Linked DNA regions of Mus musculus: regions 1, 2, 3, 4, 5 and 7 are each reported to be linked to region 6. The links are microRNA targets in miRTarBase. Many come from high-throughput screens and were not tested one by one. Region 6 holds a microRNA gene; each other region holds the end of a gene's coding sequence. Distances are between the middles of the regions.

Evidence for each region. Region 6 holds the annotated microRNA mmu-miR-466q (GUGCACACACACACAUACGU, at 2,334-2,353, shown strand). A microRNA usually pairs through its seed, bases 2 to 8, with sites in the 3' UTR of a target mRNA and lowers its output. Matches are read on the target gene's strand: a 7mer-m8 pairs with bases 2 to 8, a 7mer-A1 pairs with bases 2 to 7 and ends in A, and an 8mer does both.
Region 1: miRTarBase lists Uhrf1bp1l as a target of mmu-miR-466q. Seed matches in the 3' UTR shown: 7mer-m8 at 2,484-2,490.
Region 2: the mRNA of Prkab2 is a reported target of mmu-miR-466q. Seed matches in the 3' UTR shown: 7mer-m8 at 512-518.
Region 3: the mRNA of Llgl1 is a reported target of mmu-miR-466q. Seed matches in the 3' UTR shown: 7mer-m8 at 2,586-2,592.
Region 4: the mRNA of Flvcr1 is a reported target of mmu-miR-466q. Seed matches in the 3' UTR shown: 8mer at 642-649.
Region 5: miRTarBase lists Unc5b as a target of mmu-miR-466q. Seed matches in the 3' UTR shown: 7mer-m8 at 2,770-2,776.
Region 7: the mRNA of Lin54 is a reported target of mmu-miR-466q. Seed matches in the 3' UTR shown: 7mer-m8 at 1,793-1,799.

The regions. Positions count from the first base shown.
Region 1 is chr10:89,817,412-89,821,478 of GRCm38, reverse strand. Uhrf1bp1l (UHRF1 (ICBP90) binding protein 1-like) reads right to left here. Exons shown (of 21, transcript NM_029166.2): 21 at 1,610-3,544. The coding sequence ends at 3,428. It overlaps Gm26180 (a small nuclear RNA gene), which reads left to right and starts at 33; the gene lies at 33-139.
Region 2 is chr3:97,669,219-97,673,285 of GRCm38, reverse strand. It overlaps Prkab2 (protein kinase, AMP-activated, beta 2 non-catalytic subunit), which reads right to left. Exons shown (of 8, transcript NM_182997.2): 8 at 203-3,558. The coding sequence ends at 3,481. Among named protein-coding and RNA genes, the nearest start is that of Gm31242, 9.3 kb to the left of the region's middle.
Region 3 is chr11:60,712,561-60,716,627 of GRCm38, reverse strand. Llgl1 (LLGL1 scribble cell polarity complex component) reads right to left here. Exons shown (of 21, transcript NM_001159404.2): 20 at 3,900-4,006; 21 at 2,442-3,707. The coding sequence ends at 3,583. Flii (flightless I actin binding protein) reads left to right here. Exons shown (of 30, transcript NM_022009.2): 22 at 84-223; 23 at 296-536; 24 at 671-825; 25 at 902-962; 26 at 1,039-1,167; 27 at 1,238-1,344; 28 at 1,492-1,597; 29 at 1,974-2,039; 30 at 2,181-2,485. The coding sequence ends at 2,315. Among named protein-coding and RNA genes, the nearest start is that of Flii, 13 kb to the left of the region's middle.
Region 4 is chr1:191,004,434-191,008,500 of GRCm38, reverse strand. It overlaps Flvcr1 (feline leukemia virus subgroup C cellular receptor 1), which reads left to right. Exons shown (of 10, transcript NM_001081259.1): 9 at 66-133; 10 at 291-2,669. The coding sequence ends at 362. Among named protein-coding and RNA genes, the nearest start is that of Gm31373, 14 kb to the right of the region's middle.
Region 5 is chr10:60,761,821-60,765,887 of GRCm38, reverse strand. It overlaps Unc5b (unc-5 netrin receptor B), which reads left to right. Exons shown (of 17, transcript NM_029770.3): 17 at 515-3,294. The coding sequence ends at 680. Among named protein-coding and RNA genes, the nearest start is that of Slc29a3, 11 kb to the right of the region's middle.
Region 6 is chr3:28,417,655-28,421,721 of GRCm38, forward strand. It overlaps Mir466q (microRNA 466q), which reads left to right and starts at 2,289; the gene lies at 2,289-2,364. The region is part of intron 2 of Tnik (TRAF2 and NCK interacting kinase); the gene reads left to right.
Region 7 is chr5:100,440,653-100,444,719 of GRCm38, forward strand. Lin54 (lin-54 homolog (C. elegans)) reads right to left here. Exons shown (of 13, transcript NM_172714.4): 13 at 1,381-3,625. The coding sequence ends at 3,424. Among named protein-coding and RNA genes, the nearest start is that of 5430416N02Rik, 13 kb to the left of the region's middle.

The DNA.
Region 1 (4,067 bases), not on the chromosome of region 6:
CAATTAATAGTAATGTTAAAAATCGTGCTATGGTGCTCGCTTCGGCAGCACATATACTAAAATTGGAACAATACAGAGAAGATTAGCATGGCCCCTACGCAAGGATGACACGCAAATTCGTGAAGCATTCCATATTTTTTATGAATTTCCTAGGCAAATGGTTGGACCTGGAGGGCATCATCCTGAGTGAGGTAACCCAATCACAAAAGAACTCAAATGATATGTTCTCACTGATAAGTGGATACTAGCCCAGAAGCTTAGAATACCCAAGATATAAGATACAATTTGCAAAACACATGAAACTCAAGAAGAACGAAGACCAAAGTGTGGACACTTTGCCCCTTCTTAGAATTGGGAACAAAACACCCATGGAAGGAGTTACAGAGACAAAGTTTGGAGCTGAGACAAAAGGATGGACCATCTAGAGACGGCCATATCCAGGGATCCATCCCATAATCAGCCTCCAAACGATGACACCATTGCATACACTAGCAAGATTTTGCTGAAAGGACCCTGATATAGCTGTCTCTTGTGAGACTATGCCGGGGCCTAGCAAACACAGAAGTGAATGCTCACAGTCAGCTATTGGATGGATCACAGGAACCCCAATGGAGGAGCTAGAGAAAGTACCCAAGGAGCTAAAGGGAACTGCAACCCTATAGGTGGAACAACAATATGAACTAACCAGTACCCCGGAGCTCTTGTCTCTAGCTGCATATGTATCAAAAGATGGCCTAGTCGGCCATCACTGGAAAGAGAGGCCCATTGGCCATGCAAATTTTATATGCCCCCGTACAGGGGAACGCCAGGGCCAAAAAGTGGGAGGGGGTGGGGAGGGTATGGGGGACTTTTGGGATAGCATTGGAAATGTAAATGAGGAAAATATCTAATAAAAATATTAAAAAAGAAAAAAAAGTTAAAAAAATCGTGCTATGTTTACTGTAGGTTTATTTCTTTTTTTTTCTTATTCTACTAAATAGTATGAGATTAATTTAATGAAACAAAAACTGTCCCAGTATCTTTCAATTAGTGTGTATAATACACAATGACACCTCCATCAATACACACACACGCGTACACACACATGAGCTGAGTCAGTGGGGAGTGTGTACTGCTCTTCCAGAAGATTCAATTCCCAGTGCCCTTGTCAGGAAGCTGACAATTTCCTGCTAACTCCAGCCCCTTCTGGCTTCCACAGGCACTATACTCATATGCACAAACCCACCCTCACATATACACAATCAAAAGTAAAAATGAAATCTTTAAAAATTAAAAGTCCTCTTTAAAGAAAAACAGGTAAGACAGTGACTCGTCCCTTTACCACTGCCTTGACAAAGTCTGCAAACGGATGACCGTGCTGAGATAAAACCTATAATCATGCACTTTAAATCAAAGCCACATCACTAATTGTGGCTCTAGCCAACTTATTTTGAGCATCAAAGGTCTCTTTCCTCTCAAATTTCTAGCACCCCAATCACACCCACCTCCTGTGTTTGTGGGGGTACACGGCAATATTTTGGGAGATGTTTCCTTAATCGTAAACCACTATCAAAACAGCACTTTTATGAAGAAAAAAGAAAAAGGAAAAACCAATCGGACAAAGTATATTGAATGCTCAGCATATTATCATCTCTGTTGTTTATACGATTTCATGGGAAGGCCAAATACATCTTAAAGGAATAAAGAAAACATTCAGTGTCTAGTAACATTAAACAGTTTAACATTGTTCCATAGAAAACTTGTATGTTTATGTAGAACAGGTCAGTCCTGAGAAACAGCGTCAGCTCAGAAGTTCATGTCCCATCCGTCCTCCTCTGTGAGACTGCTCTTGCTGAATCCATACCAGACATCAAAGGTTAGCAAGGTGTGCATTCTGAAACTCTAATTAGACCTCCATACTTCATCTAAGGCTACATACAGCTTAGAGTAACAAAGTTTTCACATGGTGTTGTAAATACTCTGAGGTAATATAGTAACGATTTAATTTGTTCTTGGCTGTATGTTGGCTCCCAAACAGTGCCTGTTTTTATCAAATGATGTCACCCGAAAAGAATGATGTGAGGAGAAGGAAGGCAAATACTGTTCACAATAAAATTTAAATCACTCCAACGTGTGATGTAATGAAGGATGTGATTTCTGCCAAGTCCTCAGATACAGGGATGGCTGTAATTCCGGCCAACATGCAAAGCACCATGAGTGTCATAGCAAGGGCCAGGGTTCCCAAGTACCTTAAAGAAAGAACAGTCCAGCTGTCTCATGGCCTATCTGGATATAGTTCTATTGAGGAATGTGAAGTTTAAAATAGACACCACTTACTTTAATTCTATCAGAAATATACTGTCTTCAAAAACCTGTTTCTTAAAATACTCATGTACTTTATTTCATAATTAAGATTCTCTCATGGTGTTTTCAACCTTATCCCATAGAAAATAGATTTCAAAATTTACCAATGACTCATATATAAGACTGTGTGTGTATGTGTGTGCACACACACATATATACACACACAGACATACATCACAGAAATCTAATCAAAACTGGCTTTATATATTCATATGAGCAAACACATGTGTAATATGATGCTACAGGAATGGTATGAAATTGTTCTGCATGTGTGAAAAACAAATTCTCTGAAAACATTCTCCTTAAAGAGGAAAGATAAAGAATTATTAAAATAGTATTAATTAAAATTTTTATAGTTACAAATACCGCCAAATATCGCAAGATAACTTGCCTTTTTACTTCTAATGACACACATTTAATGGAATGTACAGGAATGCTTTAAGTCACTTGCCCAGTGCCCTGTATTTGTGCTTTGATTTTACACGAGTGCCTCACTGAAGCCTCCCCATCACTTAAGGTGACTTTCCTTTCACATTTTCAAGTTGCTTCACAAGTTCGGTAGGGTCAAGAGTTTTCCATTTGTAAACTCAGTAATTATATAATTTATTAATCTGATTGGACTTTTTACAACAATTAAATAATTATAGATTAAGTACATAATTTTAATAACATCTAAAATGTAAGCCTACTTTTCTTTTACATTAGCCCTAAAAGTATCTTTTTTTTTTTTTTTTTGTAAATAATAGTAAATTATTAACAGAGAAATAAATTCAGCAATCTGCATGAGCACAACAGGTCTTCGTTTTTCTTGTAAAAAATGCTTTTGATGAGACACTGAAGTTAGGAACTGACATTTCTCATTAGGCATGTAACTGTGTTACAGTGTGCGCAGCCTTCACGGGGCCACCCAGATGACTGTACCGCTTGCGCCCAAGGTTTCCTCCACAGGGTTTGGAACAGCCGCCACTTCACCACTCGCTTTATTTCATGTAAAGGAAAACTTCCCACTAACTGGTTACATCCTTCTGTTAAACCTAGCCGTCCTTCTCCAGCGCTCTAGCCCCGGTTCTCACGGCCACGGCAGCTACAGGCCCATCCTCTTCATTTGATGGAGAAGCTCATCTCTGGCCGAGTGAGCCTCCGCGAGCTCCATTTTAGCTTGAGCTAGTCTCTGCCTGAGACATTCGTTTTCCTCCATGAGCTGAAATGACATTTGTAAAACAAGAGGTTTTAATCACTTCCCAAAAATGCAACTATTTTATGTAGCATCACTTGGGATGGTAAACCACCCAGTGCTGGTGAGGGTCCAGTTGAGCTGAAAACTGGGAAGCAATTACTATGCAAGTAACCGTGTTCCTACATTTTGACCCAGTAATTGAAAATACTAATTAACTTCTCAGTTCCAAATTTAAAGTGATACTGTGTCACCGTACTACACTGGGGCCTCTGTGTCTTCAGATGCGCTGACCTTCCTTCTCTGTCATAAGCCTCCATCTTTTTGCCTATACCAGCCAGTTCTTTCAATTTGCCACCTCCCCACCCACTCCTTTTTCACCCCTCCTGGGACCCCTTCAGTTTTCAAATTTTATTAGATCTCACGGTTTCCCACTTTCTCTTTTACCTAAGTCACTCTCTTAGGTGACTTTCACTAGTCCCATGATACAACTAGCTCATAGACAAGAGACAGCCTGGCCCAGAACAACCCTCTCCTCGTCTTTAGACTC
Region 2 (4,067 bases), 69 Mb from region 6:
CCACACTTAATTCAAATCAACTCCACCTAATGCTGGAAGTACTAAACATTTCTATTTTGAATGAAGCTTGCTTCTTCAAAGTACCGCTGAGAAGAACAACAAGCTGAGACAGATCCAGTTCAAAATCCTAGAGGCAGTGGATCCTACAAGAGACTTGTGATTTTTTTTCTTCCCTTTCCTATAATTGAAAAAAACAATTGGCTTTTTTTTTTTTTTTTTTACTCCAAACATGTTTGTTCACTGCAGAAATCAGTCTTTCAATCTCCAGTTGTGATTGTCACTTAAGGACAGACAAATGCCTAGATCCAGAGTCCTGAAAGACCCTTATTTCTTCCTGGTCTCATATTCATGAGTAACTGGAGTCTGCCGCTGACAGAAGACAGCAAGAACTTGGCTTTGAGGATTAGTCATAACACACCAACAAAATATTTATCTGCTCTTAAGCCCCAGGTCACAAGAATATGAGGACTAAGTATCTCTGAGAACAGAAGGAATACCACATACACATATGTGCACACACACACACACCCACAGGGACTATTGCATATTGTTTTGAGGTCAAACATTTAAAGGCCCTGTTCCCACTTCCACGTCACATCACTTTAACAGCATGCATGCAATAGTGACACTTTTCAAAAGGTTTATGAAAGATCCATTAGATCTACAAAAAACCAAAACCAGCAGGGACGGCTGGGCGAAGGTTTCTCTCAGAAACGGGTTTTCTTCCTTTGTACTTCCGGCCCAAGAGGCCAGGGCTCTTGAAGAAGCTAGCTGAGCCCTTCAGAGGTGTGAATCCTACTCAGGTCTAGGTTGACAGGAGGCTAATAACCATGGCTCGAGTGAAAGCTCTTCACACTGTCTAGGTCTTTTTCCTTGAGACTCTGGTGAACCTGTCTTACTGATAAGTGAAGTCAGACAGAACGCAGAGGAAAGGGTGAGAACAGGGTAAGAAGACAGTTTCTGGGCTGCTAAGTGGTTTGTACCAGGTGATGTCTGCTTGAACTCTTTAAGGGGACATTTTCAGTGCCAAGCTCCCTGAGCCTTCAGTTCCTGCTATCTCCCTTGGGCTCCTTCGCTGCTTCCCTGGCCTCACAGGCACTGATCTACACTACAGGTGTTGTGTTAGCCTCCTTAAGGGCCGTTTTACTACCAACTGACCCTGCAAAATTCCCATAGGTGGGAAAGAAAAAGAAATAGTTTTGCCTTGATTTGTTTCTTAATTCTGTCCGACTTTTTATTGTAGAAAACACACTGCCCCTTAAAGTAACTAAAGAAAAGCGGTACTCACTCTGTCTCTTTACAAGTGTTTCCTGGTGACAGGGGCAGCATTCCCCAGGGTCAGGGGCCAGGACAGGGACAGTGCTGGTGAGCTATCAGCCAGCCCTTCTAACTCTCTCCTGCATTTCCAGATGAGGCCATCAGCACCCACCCCTCTATCACCACAGCCTCACCCGTCAGAGAAGCATCAGCCTGAGTGAGAGACTGAAGACAGCTTTCCCCACCCTTCCATAGCTACAACTTTGAGGGGTCAAAACTTAATGCACAAACACAGATGATCCCAGCTTAGACTGTTAACAGGAAGTGTAGATACAACAATCCTACTGGGAAACAAGCAAGGCTTTTGAATCCTCCTGGGTGGCCCACTTCTAAATCAGCACTGAGGAAAAACAGAAAAAATAAATAAAACCTTTCGACATAACTGAAGGGCCTTAGAGTTGATGAAAAACCAAGATGAGGCCTTGGCTTTCAAAATGGAACACTATTCAGAAAGCTGACTGGACCACGAGGGTTCTCCACAGAGTCTCAGCTGAGGGAGGTGGCTTGGGATGGCTGAAGCGGCATCTCCCAGGACTCATGTACCAAGGCATTGAGCGATCTGTACTCCCTGCAGGACAGAAACCTCCCCATCTTCCTATTCACCCTTGTGATAAGAGGCCTCAGAGGTGTGCAGAGGACTTGCTGTGCCACCCTCATGTGGGAGAGCCAGGAGGTAGGTGAACTGACCAGCAGGTCCCTTTCAATGTGGCTGGCTCATCTCAGGAGACAGGAAGGCTCTCAACCAGAAACAGTGCCTAATGATTGACTTACATTTATCTGTAAAATGGAAGTGTCAAGATACTGGAAAAAATATTTCCTTTCAATCCTGAGTAGGTTGGAATACTTCTCAGTCAGTGGTTATCAGTGACCCCATTCCATCATCAAACACATTTAAAGGGAAGAGGCGAAAGAAAAAAATACTTTGTTAATATTTGGTGCAAAGAGCAATACTGTGCACGGTTATGAACACCGAGGGTAGTTCCTTGCCTCACACATCTTTAATGGTAGGGAAACCTCGCATGAGCACCCAGTGAGCCTGCATGAGCATCCAGTGAGTCTGCATGAACTTGTGTCTAGAGCTGTGCTTGGGTAGCGAGGTACACATGGCTGGCCATATTAACCCAAGACTGTAGAATTGCCTAGACTAGAGAAGAAAAGCTTAAGAACCATTTGTCAAAAGCCTGAGGTCCTTTAACAGCCTGTTAACATGGATGGATAAGCTTTTTTTTTTTAATTAAAGAAAAATGTAGGCACATAAAAAAAAAATCTTTCAGGGATGAAAGATACGGAAGTTTTCCCTAATTCCAAACCTATCTACAAACTGAATGCTCTGATAAAGAAAAACCGTAAACAGGCTCACACAGCCAATATACAGGACCAAACTGAAACAAAAAGAGCTTCATTTTCCCCTAGATGTTAAAATAAATTGTAACACACTGGGTTAGGCCTTCGCTGAGCTAAAAAGGAGACCCTGGCACCTCTAGTCTCTCAGGAGAGTCTAATCACACAGACTTTTCAGAAGGGTCCCTTGCCCAGTGAGTTTTGCATTACTGGGCCATGTATGAGATCTGAGGGGACTTATTAAATTGGGTACATAAAATGAAGAGGGTTCTTGTGGGGCATCTAGTGTCATATAAACACACAGGAGATTGTGTCACATAGTGTGGGAATACAGAATCAGTCCATGCAAGGAAAGCCACCCTGCACTGAGGCAGCTCTAAGGAGGGCAGCAGCCTGGCACACATCTCACCCCTGGACACCAGTGGTCCAGAACCTCTGCCCAACAAAGATCCTAAGAGTTTGCTATTCTCTCACTTTAGAAAAAGAAGCTTCTGGGATGCCCATTCCTGTGGCCACTGCTTCCCAGTCAGGCCCTGGCGACCACCCACAGGCAGAGAGAACCTGTACAGCGGGGCCAGGAGACTTCCGGTAACCTTTCTCTCATATGCATATATATGGTTTTGTGTTTCTTAAAATAAACTCCGTGAACTCATAAAGCTCTCATCTGCAATCAAATGCAAAGCAGAGCATCCTATCAGAGGCTCTGACACACACAGCAGCCTCAAAACAAACCAGCCTGCCAGCCTCAGAGGAGGCCAGCTCAGTTCAAAGGCAAGGGAGATGCTTCTCCAGAATCCTTGGGGGCAAGGCGTGACGCCTTCCTCAGATGGGCTTATACAGCAGCGTGGTGACATACTTCTTCTTGTAGCGATGGGTTGCGCTAAGGACCATCACACTGTCCTGCAGAGAGAGAAGCACACACAGTGATTCGTTCATCTGGGTGGCTGCTGGCTCTTCCTGGCTCTCAGTCTTTCACAGTCACTCACTGTTGGGGCAAAACACCCCATCAAAACCAATGTAAGGGAGAGAAGGTTTATTTCTGGCTCACAGTTCTGGAAGACAGTCCATTATGCCAGGGAAGCCAACACGTCAGGACACTGAAGCTGTTGAGCACATCCTACGAGTGCACATTTGTGTTCAGCATGCTTTCCCCCACTTCATCCAGTCCAGGATACCCTGGCCAGGGAATGGCCTGCTCATTTAAGATGGGTCTTCATATGCCAATTAACATATTCAAGATAATTCCCCATAAATGTGCTCAGACTCATAGCTCTGGTTGTCCTAATTTTTTTTTTCAAGTTAATAACACTAACCAACACATTTACTTTTAAAGAGACAACTTGAGACAAAAGAGGCTGGCTTTGCTGTCAAATCTAATTCAGCTCCAATCTAGTTCCTGTTGTGGTGTT
Region 3 (4,067 bases), not on the chromosome of region 6:
AGGGGGAGGGGAGGCGGGGGGGACATGAGAGGGAGGGGCTCTGCACAGCATGGTGCTCACATCTCCTTGATGACGGCTAACAGGCAGAGCAGCTGATGGAGGAGTGGAATGAGGACCTGGATGGCATGGAGGGCTTCGTGCTGGAGGGCCGCAAGTTCACTCGACTGCCAGAGGAGGAGTTTGGCCACTTCTACACACAGGACTGCTATGTCTTCCTCTGCAGGTGCCAGAGCAAAACCTCAGCCTCTTGTTCTTTTCCCTGTGCAACCCTTGCTCACCACTGTTTGAATCGCAGGTACTGGGTACCTGTGGAGTACGAGGAGGAAGAGAAGACAGAAGACAAGGAGGGGAAGGCCTCGGCAGAGGCCAGAGAAGGGGAGGAAGCAGCAGCGGAGGCAGAGGAGAAGCAGCCAGAGGAGGACTTTCAGTGCATCGTTTACTTCTGGCAGGGCCGGGAGGCCTCCAACATGGGCTGGCTGACCTTCACATTCAGTCTTCAGAAGAAGTTTGAGAGCCTCTTCCCTGGCAAGCTGGAGGTGTGTATTCACACAAGCCCTGAACTGTGCCCCATGGCCTGTGCTTGGGATGGTAGTATGATCAAACCAGGCCTGAGGGAGCTTGGCCCTTGGAGGCAGGGTCTAGGGAACTACCCAGCACTTCTGATCTCCAGGTAGTACGTATGACACAGCAGCAGGAGAACCCCAAGTTCCTATCCCATTTCAAAAGAAAGTTCATCATTCACCGAGGCAAGAGGAAGGTGACCCAGGGTACTCTTCAGCCGACCCTCTATCAGATCCGCACCAACGGCAGTGCCCTCTGCACCCGGTGGGTACCTGGCTTGGGGAGGGGACAGGATTCCATGGTGGAGGTAACACTGCTGACACCACCACCCCCTCCCCAGGTGCATCCAGATTAACACTGACTCCAGCCTTCTCAACTCTGAGTTCTGCTTCATCCTCAAGGTGAGGCTGTGGGCAGGACAGCAGAGCAGGGTGGTGGGCAAGAATCAAGCTGACCCAAGCACTTGTGCATACCCAGGTCCCCTTTGAAAGCGAGGACAACCAAGGCATTGTGTATGCCTGGGTAGGTCGGGCATCAGACCCCGACGAAGCCAAGCTGGCAGAGGACATCCTGAACACTATGTTTGATGCATCCTACAGCAAACAGGTGACAGAGGTGGGGGCAGGCAGGAAGGGAAGAGCAGATGAGGGCCCTGGCTGACCAGCCCTTCTCACAGGTCATCAATGAAGGCGAGGAGCCAGAGAACTTCTTCTGGGTAGGCATTGGTGCACAGAAACCCTATGATGACGATGCGGAGTACATGAAGCACACGAGGCTCTTCAGGTGAGTACCCCTCATCCCTCCCCTAGCTTCTGTGCACACACGGGGACACACAAGGCCTATGACAATGACACAAAGTACATGAAGCACACAGGGCTCTTCAGGTGGATCCTTCTAACCTTGCCCTTCACCTTGGCTGTTGCCCGACAGGTGCTCCAATGAGAAGGGTTACTTCGCAGTGACTGAGAAATGCTCTGACTTTTGCCAAGATGACCTGGCAGACGATGACATCATGCTGCTAGACAATGGCCAAGAAGTGAGACATTCTCCCACCTCAGAGCCTGCCTTCTGGATTAAGATGAGACGCTATAGCTGGGAATACTGGGGCCAGGGGCAGCCTTCCCACCAGCCACATGTGGAGCACTGAGCATCATATACAAAGGCCCTGGGCTCAGTTGTTTTTTTTTTTTCAGAGACAAGGTTTCTCTGTATAGTATTGGCTGTCCTGGAATTCACTTTGTAGACCAGGCTGGCCTCGAACTCAGAAATCCGCCTGTCTCTGCCTCCCAAGTGCTGGGATTAAAGGCGTGCGCCACCACTGCCCAGCCTGGGCTCAGTTTTTTTTTAAAAGCACTATAAACATCAAAAGGGCCAAGAAACCCATGTGACCATTTCATCCTCTGTATCCTCAGGTCTACATGTGGGTTGGGACCCAGACAAGCCAAGTGGAGATCAAACTGAGTCTGAAGGCTTGCCAGGTAAGAGATTACTGAAGCCAGCCTGACGGTTTCAGGAGCCACTTGTCCCTCCCTCATCCTGGATAGACGTTGAGGAAGGGGCACAGTGGTCAGTCCAGCAGGCCTTAGAGGACTACCCAGGCCCATTGTTTTTCTTACCAGGTATACATCCAGCACACACGCTCTAAAGAACATGAGCGGCCACGTCGCCTGCGCCTGGTCCGCAAAGGTAATGAGCAGCGCGCCTTCACCCGCTGCTTCCACGCCTGGAGCACGTTCCGCCAAGCCCCAGCCTAAGCAGTACCTATGACCTCAGACTCCAGTGAGGAAGAGGAGGACTCCTCGTACCTGCTTCAGCTAGCCACAGCCTGCAAGCAGCACACAGCCCCAAGCCCCACCAGTGTGTCCACATGTGTGCAGATGTAGTTTAAAAGATATTAAATGCTTTTATTTTCAATATTAAAAAATCAGTACTTTTAATATTAAAACAACTAGTTTTTAAAAAAAGACAGAAAAGCCGAAGGTGGCATCTACAGGGAAGCCCATCCTCACTGCCGCACACACACGTGCACACACACGCACACACACACCTCTGACTGACTTCAGTCATGACGCCCAGCAGTCTCTAGTCACAGGAGCACACAATACACACAGGCCAGGAGCAAGTACCAAAACTGCTTTAGAAATGACTGGCCAGCTCAGTCCAGGCGTTAGAAAAATACTCTGCTTGAGGAGAAAGGAAGTACAGTATGGAGTGCAAAAGGATGCTCGCACCCCTCCGGCTGAGCTTGAGGCTGGGATGTGTTCAGGGCCCAGCATCAGTCAGCGGGTCCGTGTTAAGGGGCAAGGCAAGACCGACAGATGGTGACGACTAAGGGGAGCAAACCCAGGTCATGCCTGCCTGCGGGGTAGGCAGCCCCTTTCAGTGATGGCCCAAGATGGGCTTGCTGGGGAGCTAGGAGGGTACCAAGTAGAAGAGGGTATGGTTAGTTATCTATGCCCAATGTAGGCTGCAGAGGCACTAGCTACTAAGGTCCAGAGAGCTCCAGTCTCCAGCTAGGCTGGGTCCATAGCAAGATACGGTAGGGGCACATAAGGTCCATGTGCTGGCTCAATAGGCAGGACCTATCAGCCTCAGTGACTCTCCTGTGAAATGGGCTCTGTGGACTGGATAAGCATCAACTCCTACACCCACAGGGTCAGAGGTGGCCTTCTAAATGCACAGGATTTCAGTGCTGCCAGGCCAGGCCCTTTCATGACTGTGGATCCCCTATGCCTGACAGCCAGAGGAAGGCAGCTAGGCTTCGAGGAATGACACCATTAGAGAAGCCTGCAGGGTTCCAGCTGGAGTGAGGGATGGCAGCTGCTGTGTGGTAAGGCCAGGCTGCCCCACAGCACCTCATTTAATCAGAAGGGTGTAGGCCCGACAAGCATCATCTGCCTCCAGGTTCCGCAGGTTCTTCTCAGAGTCCTCAGGAGAGCTGGGGAGGGCAGTAATCAGAAGGGCTGGGGTAAGAAGACCCCTAGTTGCCCTGGGGATGGCGGCTTGGGAGAGCAGCTGGCCTCACCCCAGAAAATCCTTCACATATTCCACGGTGACATCCCCTGTTGTGTCCAGCATGGTATCCCCACTAGCAGCTGAATCAATGGACACAGGCGAGAGAGCGGCCTCGGGTGGTTCCATGGTATCTGTTGGAAGAAGTGCTGCTCAGTATCTACTGTGCACCTAGAGACCAGGTACTAACGACAGAGCACACAGGACACGCATGTGCACACACAGGCGCCCTCCAGCCCTGGCTCAGTGGAACCTGAGCTTACGTCTTAACCCCTCTCCCTCAGGTACCCTCAATGCCTGCCTGCCCCACCCCTGTGCCCTCTCACCAGCTCGCTTGCTGTGGGCAGAGCTAGGGCTTCCTTCGCAGCTCTCTGGGGCCAGAATGATGTCTCTGGTCCCATTAGCCTGGCTCAGCTTGGGTGACTCTTGAAGCCTGTGAAAAAGATGGGAGTGTGATGGAGACTATTACAGGTGCTGCATCTGACCCCCAAACT
Region 4 (4,067 bases), not on the chromosome of region 6:
TTAAATGTTATCAGGTAAAAGAAGAGGGTATCCGCTTATACTAACTCTCGGTAATTCTGTTTTAGCGTTGATCAAGTCTGATCTGAGAAGGCACAATATAAACACCGGGCTTACAAACATTGACGTTAAAGCTGTAAGTAAGATACTTTTATGGCTGTACTCTGAGTAGATGGGATAAATGGGAAAGCATTCTTGTTTAATCAGTAACATTTATAGCCAGTCAACAATGGACGGTGAGGTAGCGAAATTCGGGTGTGCTGCATCTCCTGAGTGTCAGTTGTTTTTTTCAGGTACCAGTTGATAGTCGGGTAGATCCAAAACCCAAAGTGATGGTGTCTATACAGTCGGAATCTTCACTCTGAAGAAGCCGGTGTGGCTGCCCCTCAACATGGGCATGTGGCTTCGTCTTTGGGCAGCTGTGTGAGGTGTGAGGCACTTGAAAATTATTGGATGAGTTCTGAATATTTTGTTTTGTGTTAATCAGCGATTGTGCTTACAATGTCCTCGTGTTAGCACTCCCATTCATGTAAACCTGTCTAGTCTCAGTTGTGTAGTGTGTACCTGAAAGTAACATTATTGACATTTTTTTTCAGGATGCTTTGTTTTTTTATGGGTGTCTAGTTCCTGTAAGACATATAAGAGTGTGCAATTCACACATAAACACATCTGGTACATTCCCAGTCAGTTGTCACCTGACTGTACTGACCATGTCAGGGTCACGGTTAGAGTCACAGTGTGAATGCAGAGTCCCATGAGAAGCACTGACCCACTCGGACAGGGCTGGGGTTAGATTCCCATCTCTTACACACCTGTGTATTGTGACATGTTCTGTCCCACAAAAACAAACAAACAAACAAACAAACCAACAAAATGGTTTTATGCACAGATTAAGTCCATTATACTCTGGTTAGCTAGGTAGCTGAGACACACACAGATCATCTGAGATCTTCTTTGTGCTGCCTTCATACAGGTAAACATTAATGTACTACAACTTGTAGTAGTTTTATGCCCTTTGTCCATTTTCACTCTCTTAAAAGAAACTTTCATCATCTGTGTTACGGGCTAGCTCGTGATTTCTTACATCACATCTAATTTTGCCTCGAAGATGCCCAAGATAAGGAAGTCTGTGATAACTTCAGAGAGCCCATGTGTCTCCATTCTGTGGAGAGTCCTTGAAATACTAGCTGCTGTCTTTCCAGGATCATTCCTCTGTCTGACCACTGTTTTTAAGGACTACCAGCCCTTGCACATGTCCTGTGAACGCTGGGAGCAGGTTCTGCTGCACCACACCGTGTGTGTAGTCAGTACTCTGTGGACACTATCTCGTACACACTCAGGACAAGGCGAGTGGGACCAAGTGTATTTTCACAGTGCCTACCACTGTGTCTTGTTTACAGTGAGAATTAAATGTCTTTGATGTTTTGACTCTTAAGCTTACATTCATGACATTTGATCAATCATAATATTTACATAGTGTGATTTTGAAAATTTTACAAAAAATTTACATAATATAAAATGCACACAGAAAAAGTAATCATGTAATGAATATGGTTGAAGCAAATGCAACTTTGATTTAGGCAAAATATGCATTGACTTATCTTGATATTATATTCTGTTTCATCAGATTACTATAAATTATGTGGAACTTGACATTGGAAAAATGTACTGAAAGAACTTAGTATCACTCAGGATCAGGAATTCTGGTTTTGTGTCCTGGGCATGTTCTGCCTTGGTAACTCTGGACACATCATTTACCCTCTCCGGCAACATTTTCCTGATCCATGAAATAATGCATTCACACTGATCTAAATGATCTTTTTAAAATATTGTCATTCATCACGAAGTAGGCCAAATCATGGTACCACAGGAATTTAGAAATCTAACTGCAATCTGGGCAGTGGTGGAACACACCTACACCCTGTCTTGAAAAACCAAAAAGGAGGAAGGAAGGAGGAAGGAAGTAATCTAGTTCGAGTAAACAATTGTGATTGGTTATGTAGAGGCAGAGAACTTCAGCTCTGTTTTTAACTCCTTAGTCAGTCTGTAATAGTTCAGGTAGAATCTGTATCATCAGCAACTTCTTTTAGTTTTTCTGTCACAGGTTACAAATGACCAAAAATGCACTGTCTCCCCCAGCTGTTTCTGTTTCTAAATTGACAGTGTTGTTTACAAGACCATATACATGTTACTTCCTGAAGCTTTGAACAAATTACAGATAAAAGTTGGAATACTTAATGTCTGAAAAGTATATTCTTGTTTTGTTTTTTATTGTTTAGAAAAGGGATAAAGTCTGACGTAATAATGCAAAATGAATCGATGATGTTCTCAGTATTTTAAGTGGATGTATGGGTAATACATCAGATAAGAATTTGATAAAATTCTATGTCATGGGTATAGAAGTAGTAATTATCATCACCTGTGTCTGCCTTCATCAGATGGTTTCAGAAGCTGTTGCATCTGTAAATGTTGTGACATAGCTTTTGTCTATTGAGATTGTTGGAGTAATATCTTTGAAAATGTTTATGTTAGCAACTGGAATGGCACCTATGTCTAATGTCTTCATTCCTGTTCTTATTTTGCTACTTTTATAATTTCTCTATGTGCCTGTTCTTCATTATTTCATACTTAAAATAAATTTATTTTTTTAGTGCTAATTTTATATGTCCTTTAAAAACAAATCCTGGTGTCTGATATGTGTGGGAAGTTAGAAAGCGATCATATGGTCTTAGAGACAGCCATAGAAGAATGGAGCCCACTGTCATCAGTACTCAATAGAAAATAAATGTAAAATAATGTAAGAGTAAGCTGGGAAAGGGGCTCAGCAGTTAGGAGTGTGCACTGCTCCTGTAGAAGACCTGAGTTTTGTTCCTAATATCCACATCAGGCGTGGTCACAACTGTCCCAGGGATCCACCACACTCTTGTGGCCTCCCTGGGCAACTGTACTCATGTACACGCCCGCACACGTGTGTATGATTTAAAACAAACAAACAAAAAACTTTAAAAAAGAGATTTGCAGAGGGCGATGTCAGCATGGCAGTGGAGACTTGACCTCGGAAGCACTGTTTCTCAAGACTCTTCATAGATTGCGCTTTTGTTGGAGGTCCAGTGAAGAGGTTTCAGCATAGTTCCAGCAGAAACCCCGTGAAAGGCAGGTTAAGTTCACGTTGTTAACCCCATCCTCCCACCACAGTGGCACAGCACAGTGGCAAGAAAGAATTCATCAGGAAGCACAGAGCAAACACTCCATCAGCTCTGTAGATGCTGTCTAACTGGCCCATTTCTGGCTTAGTCCAGCCAGACTATTGAGGTGATTGGTAGAGCTGAATGTCAGAGAAGGCCAGAAGCAGGAAAGGAAGACCAGGGAGACTCTCGGCTCCATCGGGAAGCCACTTGGGATTCCTTGCCTGTGGACCATGGACACCTCAATATTCTGTGTACCATATACTTGATCAAGCTGGTTTTCCAGGTACATCCACAAGTCCACATAGATAGAGTCAACTGAGCAGCATTAGAAGGTGCCCGAACTAGAGAAAGCAAACAGGAAGTGGCCTGGCTTTTCAGGATGGAGAGAAGACAAAAGGGAACAAGATAGGTAAGGGCAGGTAAGTCCACAGCGAATGTCTGAGCCTTAAAATCCCTAGCCAGGCTGAACTTTGTCGTTTATGCATTTCTCTCCTAAACCGTTGTCAGTAAAGCCTGCAGGGGGGCCAGAGGCATGGCTCAGTGAGTGTCTTAGTTAGGGTTTTACTGCTGTGAATAGACAGCATGACCAAGGCAGCTTTTATAAGGACAACATTTAATTGAGGGTGGCTTACAGGTTCAGAGACTCAGTCCAGTATCATCAGGGTGGGAGCAGAGCAGTATCTGGACATGCTTGGTACAGGCAGAGCTGAGAGTTCTACATCTTCATCTGAAGGCTGCTAGTGGAGGAAGACTGACTTCCAGGCAGCTAGGATGAGGGTCTTAAGCTCACACCCACAGTGACACACCTACTCTAACAAGGCCATACCTTCTAATAGTGCCACTCCCTAGCCCAAGCACATACAAAGCCTCACAGTGGGTAAG
Region 5 (4,067 bases), not on the chromosome of region 6:
GTCAGAGGATAACCTCCGATCTCTTTGTTCTTCTGCTTGCCCTGAGTGTCAGGTAAGCTAGCCCAGGAGCTTACAGGGACTTCCCCTGTCTGTGCTTCCCAGCTCCCTGAAATGGCGTGCTCAAGGAACAGTGGATTTATAGACGTATGGTTTTCATGTTGGCTGCAGGGATTTGAACTCAAGTCTACACTACCCACAGAACCATCTTGCCAGCCCTCATACAGACTCTGAGTTCCTCCATGGGTTTATCTGTTGATGAAGGCAGAGGTTCAAGTTGCAGGAGCTTGCTCAGCCCCACCTCTAAACCACGCTAGTAGGAGATCAAGAGGACCAAGGGATGAGTCTTAGCATACATGGACTTGCCTAGGGCTGCAAAGTCTACAACTGGGGAACCCAGGAATCAAGACTCAAGGCTGCGGGACTCTGGAGCCCACAGTCTTCCCATCACCCGGGTCTTCCCAATTCATGGGCTGGTCACCTCAGGGGTGCCAACATTTCTGTTTCCTTCCAACAGGTACCTAAACTACTTCGCCACCAAAGCTAGTCCCACAGGTGTCATCTTAGACCTCTGGGAAGCTCGGCAACAGGATGACGGGGACCTCAACAGCCTGGCCAGTGCCTTGGAGGAGATGGGCAAGAGTGAGATGCTGGTAGCCATGGCCACAGATGGCGATTGCTGAGTGCCTGTGACCACAGGCCTGTGGGGATCAGTAGGAGACGGTGCAAGGAGGCCTGGCAGCCTCTGCACAGGGGTGCCCAGCCTCCACCACTCCTGGCTCACAGCAGGAATGGTCCTTCAACTCCCTCCCCGCCACAACCCTCAGACCACCACCACCAGCCTTAGAAAGTCTCTGTGCTCTACTGCCAAGAGGCCGGGATCCTCTGGCCCACTGTTTCCCCAGCTCACTCTGGGGTGGGCTGAGGCCTCTGGGACAGCTGAAAGCCAGAGGCTTTCCCCTGCGACAACACACCACCCTCAGCCCTGTGACTTTGGGGACCCACAGGTTTCAATTCTGTGTTCACATGGTCCTGGGCTAGGGACCGCTCTCTTATCCCGGGTCGAGTTCAGTTCAGGCAAACTGCTTTTTCCTGTCCACAAGCAGAGAGGGAAGATTAGGGGAGTGGGGGTGGGGGGTGGGGGATGAGCCTCAGAAGTCAGCGAGACTCAGGTAGTGAGAGAGCAAAAACAGTAAGGGCAAAGAAAGACCCAGTTTCTTAGGGAACGCAAATGATTTATTATCCAGATACTTGGATAGTTCCTTTTTAAGAAAACAAAACAAACAAAAAAAAGTAAGAAAAGGAAAAAAAAAACCTTTTATCCTTGAATGTGGCTAAGAGTGGCTATGCTTGTGATTTGGGCCATAGGCGAGTGCACTTGTGGACACATGTGTGTGTGGGTGTGGTCAATAAGAGACTGCACAGGGAAAGGCTTTGCTATGTCAAGGCCTCAGTTTCCCCAGCTGTGCAGGGAGCTGAGACAGGGTTTTAGCCATGGCCCTGAGTTCTAAAGTCACAAGCAGAAGCTGGGGCCTGGTGGCCTTCGTCCTCTCCGGAGCCCCCTGCAGGTGCCCTTCTGTGGCCTCCTCTGGCTTTGGAGGGTCCAGCTGTGGTTCTGGGAGACTGTTCAGGTCTGTTTGGTGATTCCTGGTCTCGTGATGGCCAAAACTCTTACTGAGAGGGAGGGGGTGTTCCAGGGAGGGCTCTCTCCCTGGGTGAGGCTGGGTGGCTCTGTGTCTAAGCTGGCACTAGCCGGTCTGCACCCCTGTGCCTCTAGCCATCATTTTACCCGCTGATCTCCCTACTGGGGTCAGGAGATATGAAGGTAACTAAGTAGACAGCTGTATACCCACTCTTGACCACAGCGCATTCTGGGATGTTCCATGGGGCCAGTGGAAGGGATGAATTCTTGTCCCTTTCAGCCCACGGGCAGTGACAGGGACTAGGATCACTGGTATTGATCCTATTGAGATGCTGACTTCCCTGAACTGCCCTTGACCAGCCTGAAAGCTTTGAAAGTTGGGGCCTCTGTGAGGAGGCAGGTTTCATGGCCACAGACCCAGCAAGCATCTCTGCCCTGGTTTTCCTGAAGTGGGGCTCTGAGACAGACCAAGGTGCCCCTGGCATCTAGGTGAACAGTGCCTCATAGAGTAGTCCTCAGCTCCTCCTGCCAAAGATGCTCATCCCTGTGGGCATACTCTCACTGGTCACTGTTAGCCCGCACATAGAAGGGGGAAGCCAAGGTGGAGCTGTGCTGTGTGACTTCAGGCACATAACTGCTTTCTCTGGGCTTAAGTGTCCTTTTATCCTGGGATGCTCCACGAGGCCCCTTGGGTTCCCACGCTTCTCTGAGAATCGAGTAGAGACAAGTTGATTGTGGTCTGCATGCTCTCTCCTTTGCCCGTCCTCGGAAACCTGCCTGTCTGGGACCTGAGGGAGCACTTAGTGAGCAAGTCCCAGCTTACAGTCCGACTCTTACTTAGAAGGTGCTCAGCATCTGGGGCACAGAAGCTAGAGCTGGAGCCTGGGGTAGGGCTCTAACCAGACAGCCCAGGTAAGGTCAAGCCAACTCTGAGCTGAGCCAGACAGGGCTGTTGGGTTGGGTTTCCATTCCTGCCTCCAATGAGATGAAGCCTCTCCCCTTCCCATTCCTAGCCAGCTTGGCGTTGCTGGGTCCTGCAGGGTATTTCTGTGTCATCTTGGGTAGTATGTGTGTTTGGGAGCATGTGTGTGTGTGTGTGTGTGTGTGTGTGTGTGTGTGTGTGTGTGTGTGTGTGCATGCCTGTGCTTTTCAACTTGGCACATCAGGGCACCCCTCCCAGAACACGCACACCTATCCCCACATGTGGACATGACCTCTGTGCCCAGGTTTGTGCCACTGGAGGTGGGCGTGCCTGTTTGCTGTCCCCGAGTCACAGTCAGTTGGTGTATCTCCTATGTGCCTCTCTGCTCTTCTCAATGGGGCCAGGTGTCTGAGTTCTGGCCATACCCCTTGAGGGACAGGGACCCTTCTTATCCCTGGATCTTTCAGGGCTCTCTGGTCCCCCATCTTGAGGCTCCCAGGCATCCGAGACAGCACCTTCCTCCCACCCTCAGAGGTCAAGTGGGTGGGAGCTCAGGTGCCGGGGTGTGGACATGGCTGTGTGTCTGTGGGTTCTGATATGCAGGGGACGGTCCCGGCCCTGTTCGTCCATTCTGTAAATAACTTGTAAATAGTCTTTAGCATTCCTCTTGTAACAAGATTAATTTTTATGAAATAAATTATATTTCCTAGTCTAATTAAAAAAAAAAAATCCAGGTCCTGGTCTGATGTCTTCTCGGTGTCTTTTAATGGCAGTTGGGAGTGTCCTGTTCTTTTTGTACGTCCACAGCAGCTCAGAGCTCCAGACCTTGATCCAGCTCAACAGCCCCATCCCACAAAAGGGAAACAGGGCTTTCTGACAGTTACACAGCAAGTTAGGGCCCCTGGATCTCACCTTGCTCACCAGCCAAGCCTTAAAGCACACAGCAGAGGAGAGGAATGTAGAGAGAATAGGGTGTGTCCCATCTGAGGCTGAGTGGTCAGTTGAATGCCATACAGGCAGGAGAGTGATGGGAGTACATTGGGATGTGTGGCTGGGTGTGAACCTGGTGGTTTACACCCTAGGTAAATACCCCATCTAAGGAGGAGAGTGTCATCAGTCCTGCCACGCAGATGACAGACAGCATTGTGTGTTCTGCAAGAGTTTCCCTGCAGGTGGTGCCTGGTAATGAAATCATAAACCTGTGTCCTGCCAGTGAACCAGTCTGCAGGTGGAGGGGTGCATATTTTAATTTTCATGACTTGATAATTACCTCTGCTTAAACTGGTACCCATAACCCTCAGGTGGCTCTCAGGCCTCGCCCTGCATCTGGTTGGCAGTTCCCAGACCCCATGGCCTACAGTCCCTTGAGTTTGGAATAAGCCCTTGACCTGGTTGTGGAGGTGTCATGAAGCCCACCACACTATTCAGGGTCTGGAAAGTCCTGTGGTGAGGCTCTGATCTTACATTAACACAGGGTACTCGACCAAACATCTGTCTGCTAAGCTT
Region 6 (4,067 bases):
ATCTTATCAGGCTGACAGTGAAATTATTAAAACCATATGTTACATAGAGTCCAGTCATTTCCATTTTTATGAATTATCCATGTTATATATTAATAATTTTGGAACAAGTAGGACAATTACAAAAAGATCTTGTAGTTGGAAATTATACTGCCCAGAGTTAATTTTTTGAGGCTCATCATTTTGATGCATCACCTTCTAGACTTTTCAAAAATTCCAGTTTGGTCATAACAGATATACAATGATATGCCTACCATTATTTGACCTGGAGTTATGTTTAGGCATAGAAATGCATGTCGGTGTCGCAGACCCTGCCCTTCCTCAACAGCCCAGAGTGCAGAAGTTTGACTTGGACCCATGAATGTCCCATGGATATATATATATATATATATATATATATATATATATATATATATAAGCATTTCAAAAAAATTACCCTCTTTTTGAGATTATAATATAATTACATCATTATCCCCTTCCTCCCTCCAAACCCTCCCACAATGCCTTGTGCTCTTTCAAACTCATCGCCTCTTTTATCATTATTTATTGTTACACACATACACACATATTAGGAATGTATGTATGTATGTAGGTAGGTAGGTATATCTCTAAAAACATAAATACAACCTATTCAGTTAGAAACTATATCCATAACATCTAAACATGAGCTGAACAAGGGCAACACTAGACATGCTGAAGTAGGCAGTGGAAAGCCCTCCATCCTACACAAAGACCTACAAAATGCGGAGAACAGGAGAAATTGCTTATCCAATACCAAATGGACAGCCCTGGAAATATACATACAAGGGACATTATACACAGCTTGGCTTTTGCATATCAGAATGGTGTACAGGGGAGCTGGTCTCGAGACAAAGCAATGTTAACTGTAGATTCTGCTCTCTAATTTCTTTTAAGAGTGTATCATTTGTCACAGTGCTCTGCCAACTGCTAACTGCAGTATCGTTTGTTCTGTTGGTCCACTAAGAATGCCTGTTGAAAACACACAAGTGCTGCAAAACAGCGCCAGAAGAAGCCTTCACAACTCTGATTTCTGGGTCAACTGGTATTGGAACATGCTTCCTCGGGTGAGGGTTCTTAAGAAAAAAGATTGCTGGAAAGCGGGCACCAGAGTAGACAGAGACAGGCATGGGATGGGCTCCAGCTTCAGTTTTCTCTTTCAGTCTTGAACAAAGTACCGACCTCTTCTGAGCATCAGTATCTTCATCGAGAAGCCATGGGCAGCATGCATGCTTCTCATCTGATTAGAGAGTTGAGATGGAGATACATAGGGTGCTCCTGTGTGCAGCAGGACTCACTCATGACCTCGTTTCCTCTTCCCTTGTTTTTTACGAAGTCTGCAGAGAAGTGCCAGTGCCCAGATTAGTCAGTGAACGATGATAATGGCATGCTAATATTTATCCAGTGAAGCACTTTGCACAGAACTATTTGTATCATGTTTGTATAATTAGAGGAAACGCTTCTCATCATACATTATGATGTGAACTTTCCTTCCTAGGCTCCCGGTAATTAGATTTGGGTGAGGAAAAATTCCCCGAGTTGTAAAAATATACAAAAACTTTTCTCGAGTTTGCTTTGTGTTTTATATTTGTGACTAGAGTTTGCCATTTCTCTTTTTATTAGGTGCTCACCACAAGTATGTTAATGAGTGGAAGTAGTGGGTGAAAACTGGCGTTTGAGAGCCATGTTAGGTTTAAGCTGACATGAAATTCATATTTGGAGAAACAGAGTAGGATCCGAAGTGACTAGGTAGTATAAATGCTTCAGAAAGCCTCGGTATATTCCTTGAAGAAAATAGACAATTGGATACTTTTTGCTCTGGGCTGTGAAAACCCTTCTGAAGAATGTGGCATCTGGATTCTACTCAGCTGAGTCCACATGGGTATACTACTAGTAGACTTTACTACTATCTGGGGGGTAAGGTGGGGTTTGCAATAGGTGCAAATAAAACTTTATTGAAGTATTAAATGTATATATCACAAGAGAGTGCTTAACAGTGGGGTGGAGCAAAAAAAAAAGAGCTGAGAAATTTTCATGCAGAAAACTGAAGGAATTTAGTGAAATTCTTTATTTTTAACTCCTTCCCATGCTTGAAACAGGGGTCTCTAGTCTAGCCTGGTCTTGAACTCAGTCCTCCTGTCTTAACATCCTGGGTGTTGAGATTACAGGCAGTCACTACCATATTTATCTAAAGTCTACCTTAGGAAGACCCCTCTACTCCTGAAACAGTTTTAAAAATCTCCTTTATATTCTTATTACCTTCTCTTTAGTGTGTGTGTGTGTGTGTGTGTGTGTGTGTGTATGTGTGTGTAGTATATGTGCACACACACACATACGTACCCATGCATGCCATATCTCATCTCTGGAGATAATAGGACAACTCGTAGGAGTCAATTTTCTCCTTTACCCAGTAGTGCCCAGAGACTGATCTCAGGTTGTCAGGCTTGGCAGCAAGCACCCTTACCCTCTGAGCTGCCTTATAGGTGTGCTTTATATTCTTAATACTACTGAAGAGTGCAAGAACCGTATGTTTGGATGGATTGTCTACCAGCATTTATTATAGTGCCAATAAATGTGATTTCATTAAATACAATAAGGACTTTTTAAAGCACAATATTACTAATGCATAACACAATGTCCATTAGCCGCAGTGATGACATCATCTTGTGGCATGCAGCCTCTGGGAAACTCCACTGTACAACTGTGGGGCAAGAGCGAAAATAGCATTTGATGTCATTGTATTAATATATAAAAAGGGCTCCAGAGACTCAGAGGACCTCGGGCATCTCTGAGGACAATTGTAGTGGCTTGTAGTCACTAGAGAGGTCACGCTGATCTGTCCTTCCGTAACCCATCACTCCATTCCAGGATGAATGACATTATTCACAGGGTTAGAAATGAAGAAGGCAGAATTTCACAAGTGGCTCGTGGCCGAGATTTGGTACTGCAGGAGCACAAGAAGAACTACAACAACAGAAGCATTTCATTTGCCATCACTGTGTATCTTTGCATAAGTATTTTTTGCACAAGTTAGGTTAGATCTACATCAAATGAAAAGAGTGGATGTATTTTAGTCAAACTGTGTTAGGAACTTCTGGCCTATAATAGCAGCCAAACATGGGATGTGTGTGCAACCTCCAAACTGGGAAACACTTAAGAGGTGTTTCCTTGAGCTCCTGGCTTGCTTGGCTAGGGCAAATATGACGAGGAGCCTACCAGGTGCTCTGCTCAGAGCTGCAATGGGGAAAACCCCATCCAAACGACAGCAGAGCACACTCAGCTAGTAACAGCTAGCTCTCATTAGCCCCTCACCCGATACAATTAACAGAAAAGAATGAAAGACAGAATAAGCTTAGGAAACAGGTAAAGGGTGGTTTAAGTATGGTCTTAATTCTTTTGAGACAACCATCCCTCCTCTCTCTCTCTCTCTCTCCTCTCCCTTTTTTCCCTTTAATGTGATGTATTTATTTTTATTTCATGTGTATGGCTGTTTTACCTGCATACATGTCTGTGCATCATTTGTGTGCTAGGTGACTGTGGGTGGGAGTCAGTCTCAGTCTATCTAGATTTACAGATGGGCTGAGCTATCATACTGGTGCTAGGAACCAGATTAGTGTCTTCTGTAGGAACAGTGTGTGCTTTTAATTCTGAGCCATCCTGCTAGCCCCACAAGTGCCCCCTTTAAAGCAAACATCTGAGAGTGGCCACAGATCCTTTGAATATTTTCCCTAAATTCACACTGGAGGAGCCACCTTAAAACACAAAGTCTCCTGCCAAGTCTCTCCTCTGGATTGGCCCTGCTGGATTGGTCTAGTCAGTTCCCATCACCATTGGCTAAGACATCTGGCCACTAGGACGCAGAGCACACAAACATTGTCTTTGCAAAAGCTCAGTCAGCGTTGCTGGGACGCACCTTCACCCTGACCACCAGGAGCTTATTTCCCCCATTGATTTGTCTTTCCAGTTTCCTGTGGCTTTAGATCTTTTCTTTTACTCTTTAATGAAAATCCACACGAATGAGACCTTTTGCTTCTAAAATGCTAAGTTGTTGT
Region 7 (4,067 bases), not on the chromosome of region 6:
GCTCTGGGTTGAGGGGAGGTGACGTTCAGATTCATTCACATATTTCTCCCCTTATCTCCTAGCCACAAGATTAAAAATAAATCTCTAAAAGCAAACAAACAAAAGCCCCAGAACTACAGCCCACAAGACACTGAGTATGGTGGCACCCGTGTCATGGAATGGGAGGTAGAAGAGAGGAAGCCTTTCCTCTGGCAACCCAAGCTACATGAGCCAATGCCTCAAAAGTACCAAACCACACAAAAAAGGTGACTGGCACATATCTATGATTCCCCCTAGCACTATGGAAAACTGAGGCAGGAGGACTATCAGGAATTTGAGGCCAGCCTAGGAAGACACTGTCCAGAAACTAGAAAAGAAAGAAAACCCAAATACACAAACAAAAACCTTACATCTGATCTATAGATTAAGTATTAAAGAAACTGTTACAAGAACTGGGAGATGGAGCTTAAATATTTTATATAATAGGAATCAACTTTATGACTGGGAGACAGAGCTCAACAGCACAACACTTAACCAGCATTCATGAAGTCCTAGCCTCAGTTCCCGACAGAAGGGAAATAATTAAAAGGAGGAAGAAGAGGAGGAAGAAGAGGGGGAGGGGAGGAAGAAGAGGGGGAGGGGGAAAAAGAGGGGGAGGGGGAAAAGAGGGGGAAGGGGGAAGAAGAGGAAGTACTGCAATAGAAAAGTCTAGTTGGTTCTGGGGCTTGGAGTGGATGGTCCAGAAACACTGTGTAAGGTGTTTACGACAGGGCTATGGCCGCAGTGCAGGGACAGAGTGCTTGCTGGGCTACCCAAGGTCCAGAGTTCATCTGCACAACCCAAAACACATCAGGATGTTTAAGGGATCCATCTGCCCTGAGGTGGAGCTGAAGGTTGCAGGTAAGCGTCAATGACCCAATGAGACCTCCTTTCTAGTCAGCATTACACAGCAAAAATGGAAACCTTTCTGAAGCTATTTTTATTCACATTTTACATAAGACTGCAGTTTCAGTTATGAAGTATCAAAAGACGGTGAGGCTACACGGCCCACCGTCCTTCCTCACCCAGGGCTAAGCTCACGGGAGTACCTACAACCCTACCCTTCCCTCTCACAGATAAGACCACAGGCTGCTTTGACCTCTTCAGAGCCACAAGAACTAAGAGTAGTCAGTCGCGAGAGAGTGCTTCATGTAGCTAAAAGAAAGTAGAGGCATTTCTGCCTTAGCAGTGGAAAAGCAGACATAGTCTCATTTCAATGCAATTCACATTAAGGAATTGGCAATGTCATCTTTAAAATTTTTTCAGAAGTCAAATGAACTTGAAAATCAGGTGACTTAAAAGGCTCCCTGCATGGCAAATGGTTAAAACTGGTATTGTTAAACTAAAGAAAAAATGCAAAACTTTTTTTTACAGAATAGTATAAATGTTTATTTTCTGTATGATTTATTCTTCTGCCCTGCTTTTACAATATAGAAAAGTGTACTTTTTGAATAGCTCTAGTAAATATAATCTTTCTACCTTAGGATGTAAATAGGGCTTAAAAATTATAGACCAAACCCTCCCCAAATAATCTTTTGAAATTGGTGATTTAATGTGGCTATTAACTTTGTTCAGCAATTTGATGCAAATGCCTAATACAAAAAGTTGTTCAGTTGGAACCACACAGAAGGAAAGGGGCTGATAGGTTAAAGGCTTCTTAAAAATCCAAACTCGTAGCTTTGATTGCACCTTCAAATTCTTACAAGCAAAACAATCTTAAGCAATGCCATCATACATAATCTACAATTATAATAAAAAATTCACAAACATTTTGTGCACACTGTATATAAATACACATCACAATGGTGCTATTAGAATTAACACATAATATATACAAAATGAACAAAGTTTAGGTTTAGACCAAAAACTTATTGCAGTCTTTTGAAAAATAACTTGATTAGATATTATTTTGTCCTCTTAGACTAATTTACATTTGTACAAAGTTTACTTAAAAACTCTAGACCGAGGTGCTAAGGATGCCTGCATTATCTACATTTAAAGTTACTGCACTGTCATCTTATAAAACCATTTTAAATGGAGGATACTTAAATGAGTAACGGAATCCTCTTGGGGTTAATTTCTATTGTCTATATCTTTCATGTTCATATGAACATATATACATACTTACTACTTACAATGCTAGAGTCCTTGTAGGAAGGGCAATAATCATATGCTAATAATTACCAAGGATTAAGGTACCTTACAAAATGTTTCAATTCCAACCTAGTTTTCTGCTTGTCATAAACTCAAGTCCTATTATAGTAGGCTCCCGAGTTCACACGGTTTCTAATTACTGAAGAATATAGAGGTTGTTTTTGCGAGTCTAAGAGCACACATACTTCAGCTTACCAAATCACTGTTTTAAACAATGTTGTATTAAAACTTCTTTTATAAAAAGCTGGCTGCAGTTCTAGAAGCTGCTAGGAGGCGCGTTTATCTCAGTAAACCAGGTAGGAGTCACACACTGACTGAACTCAGTCCAGAAGGTCTGCAGAGAAGTGTGTGCATAAAGCGCCACCACACATAACCTCCCAGCTCTGAGTCCTCGCGTCTCCAGCGAGCCAGACTTCAGACTTACTGCGTATGAGTTCTGTCATCATGACACAAAATGTTTAATGTAATTCATTCTCATATTTTAGTAATTAGCCATAATCACTTTGACAATTATTATAAAACATACCACCTCCTTCAGAGAAAATGAAGACGCCCCAGACCATGTTAGCCATTCCTCATCAGAGACACAGCCTGTCCTCTGAAAATTACTGCCCCTTAATATTTTGCTTTCTTTAAAGAAAGCATAATGTTTGTATTATACTGAAAAGTGTGGTGGGGATTGTTTCCCCTTCTGATACTCCCAACGAGACAGCAGACAGCATTCCAGAATCCACTCTAAAAATCTGATTTTTTTTTTTTAAGGATGGTGTTTCTCTAAACAAAATGTCTCCTAAATATATTTCATTTAGAATCTGGTTATGCGGACATTCTACCTGTGAATACTCTGGATCTGTAACCAAAGAATGGGTAATACCCATGCTACTTTGGCCTTTTCTACTGAACAAAGTCATACAACACCATACATTATAAATGATATCACTATAATTTATGAATGTTCTTTGTCAATAGAATCAGGACAGAACATCTAATTCTTAAGAAACCCAAGCAAATTAAAAAAATATATAATACATAAAAGAAAAATTTTTAAAGAAAAAAATTTAGAAGGGGCATAGGCAGAATTAACTAAGATTTTAAATGTACTAATTTCTTCTCTTTCAATATTATAGTTTCAGATCTCTTAAAACAAAGGCTGAATTAAAATACAGTAATTGTTAAGCTATCTTCTAGAAAATCAAGTGTCCCGGCACCTTAAATTTTCTGTACAGTTCCATTCAGTCTTTTGTGCAAGAGTTAGCAGTGCATGGCACAGGGGTCACTTTTGGCTTTTCCTGCAGAGTTGATGACGCTCATCAAACATCGTCCAAATTCCTCAAGTATCATCCGCTCTGCTGCCGCCTTTGATTTCCCCTTCTTGTCTGCCTGCTCTGCCTGGGCAAGAAGGCAATTACACGTGGCTTCAGCTACTTCTTTAGTTACAAATGTAAACGGCAATCTGCAATGAGTTTCGAGAGAGAAACACAGGTGATCAAGGTTGACCTGGGAACTCTACTGGTCCTGTATGCTGCACCAGCCTAAGGGAATCAGCTCTGAGAGAGCCTAAGACTCGGAGGGTTTGGTCTCAGGGAGCAAATCTAAAAGCAATTACCAGGAAAAACCTTTAACATAAATGACTTACTTCCCAATCAATGTTATCCAGCTAAATAAAGATGTGACTTTCTTACCACTTACACCTCCCACTTACACCTCTCCTGTCCCAGGAGCACTGTCCTGGTTTGACTATCATTTCTGACACAAAGGCATTTTAGTAAACACTACATATGATGTAAAAAGAACAAACAAAAGCCATGTGGGTGGCACTCAGAAGGCAGAGGCAGGAGGAGCTCTGTGAGGGGTCAGTCTGATGTACAAAGTGAGTTCCAGGAGAGCCAGTCAGC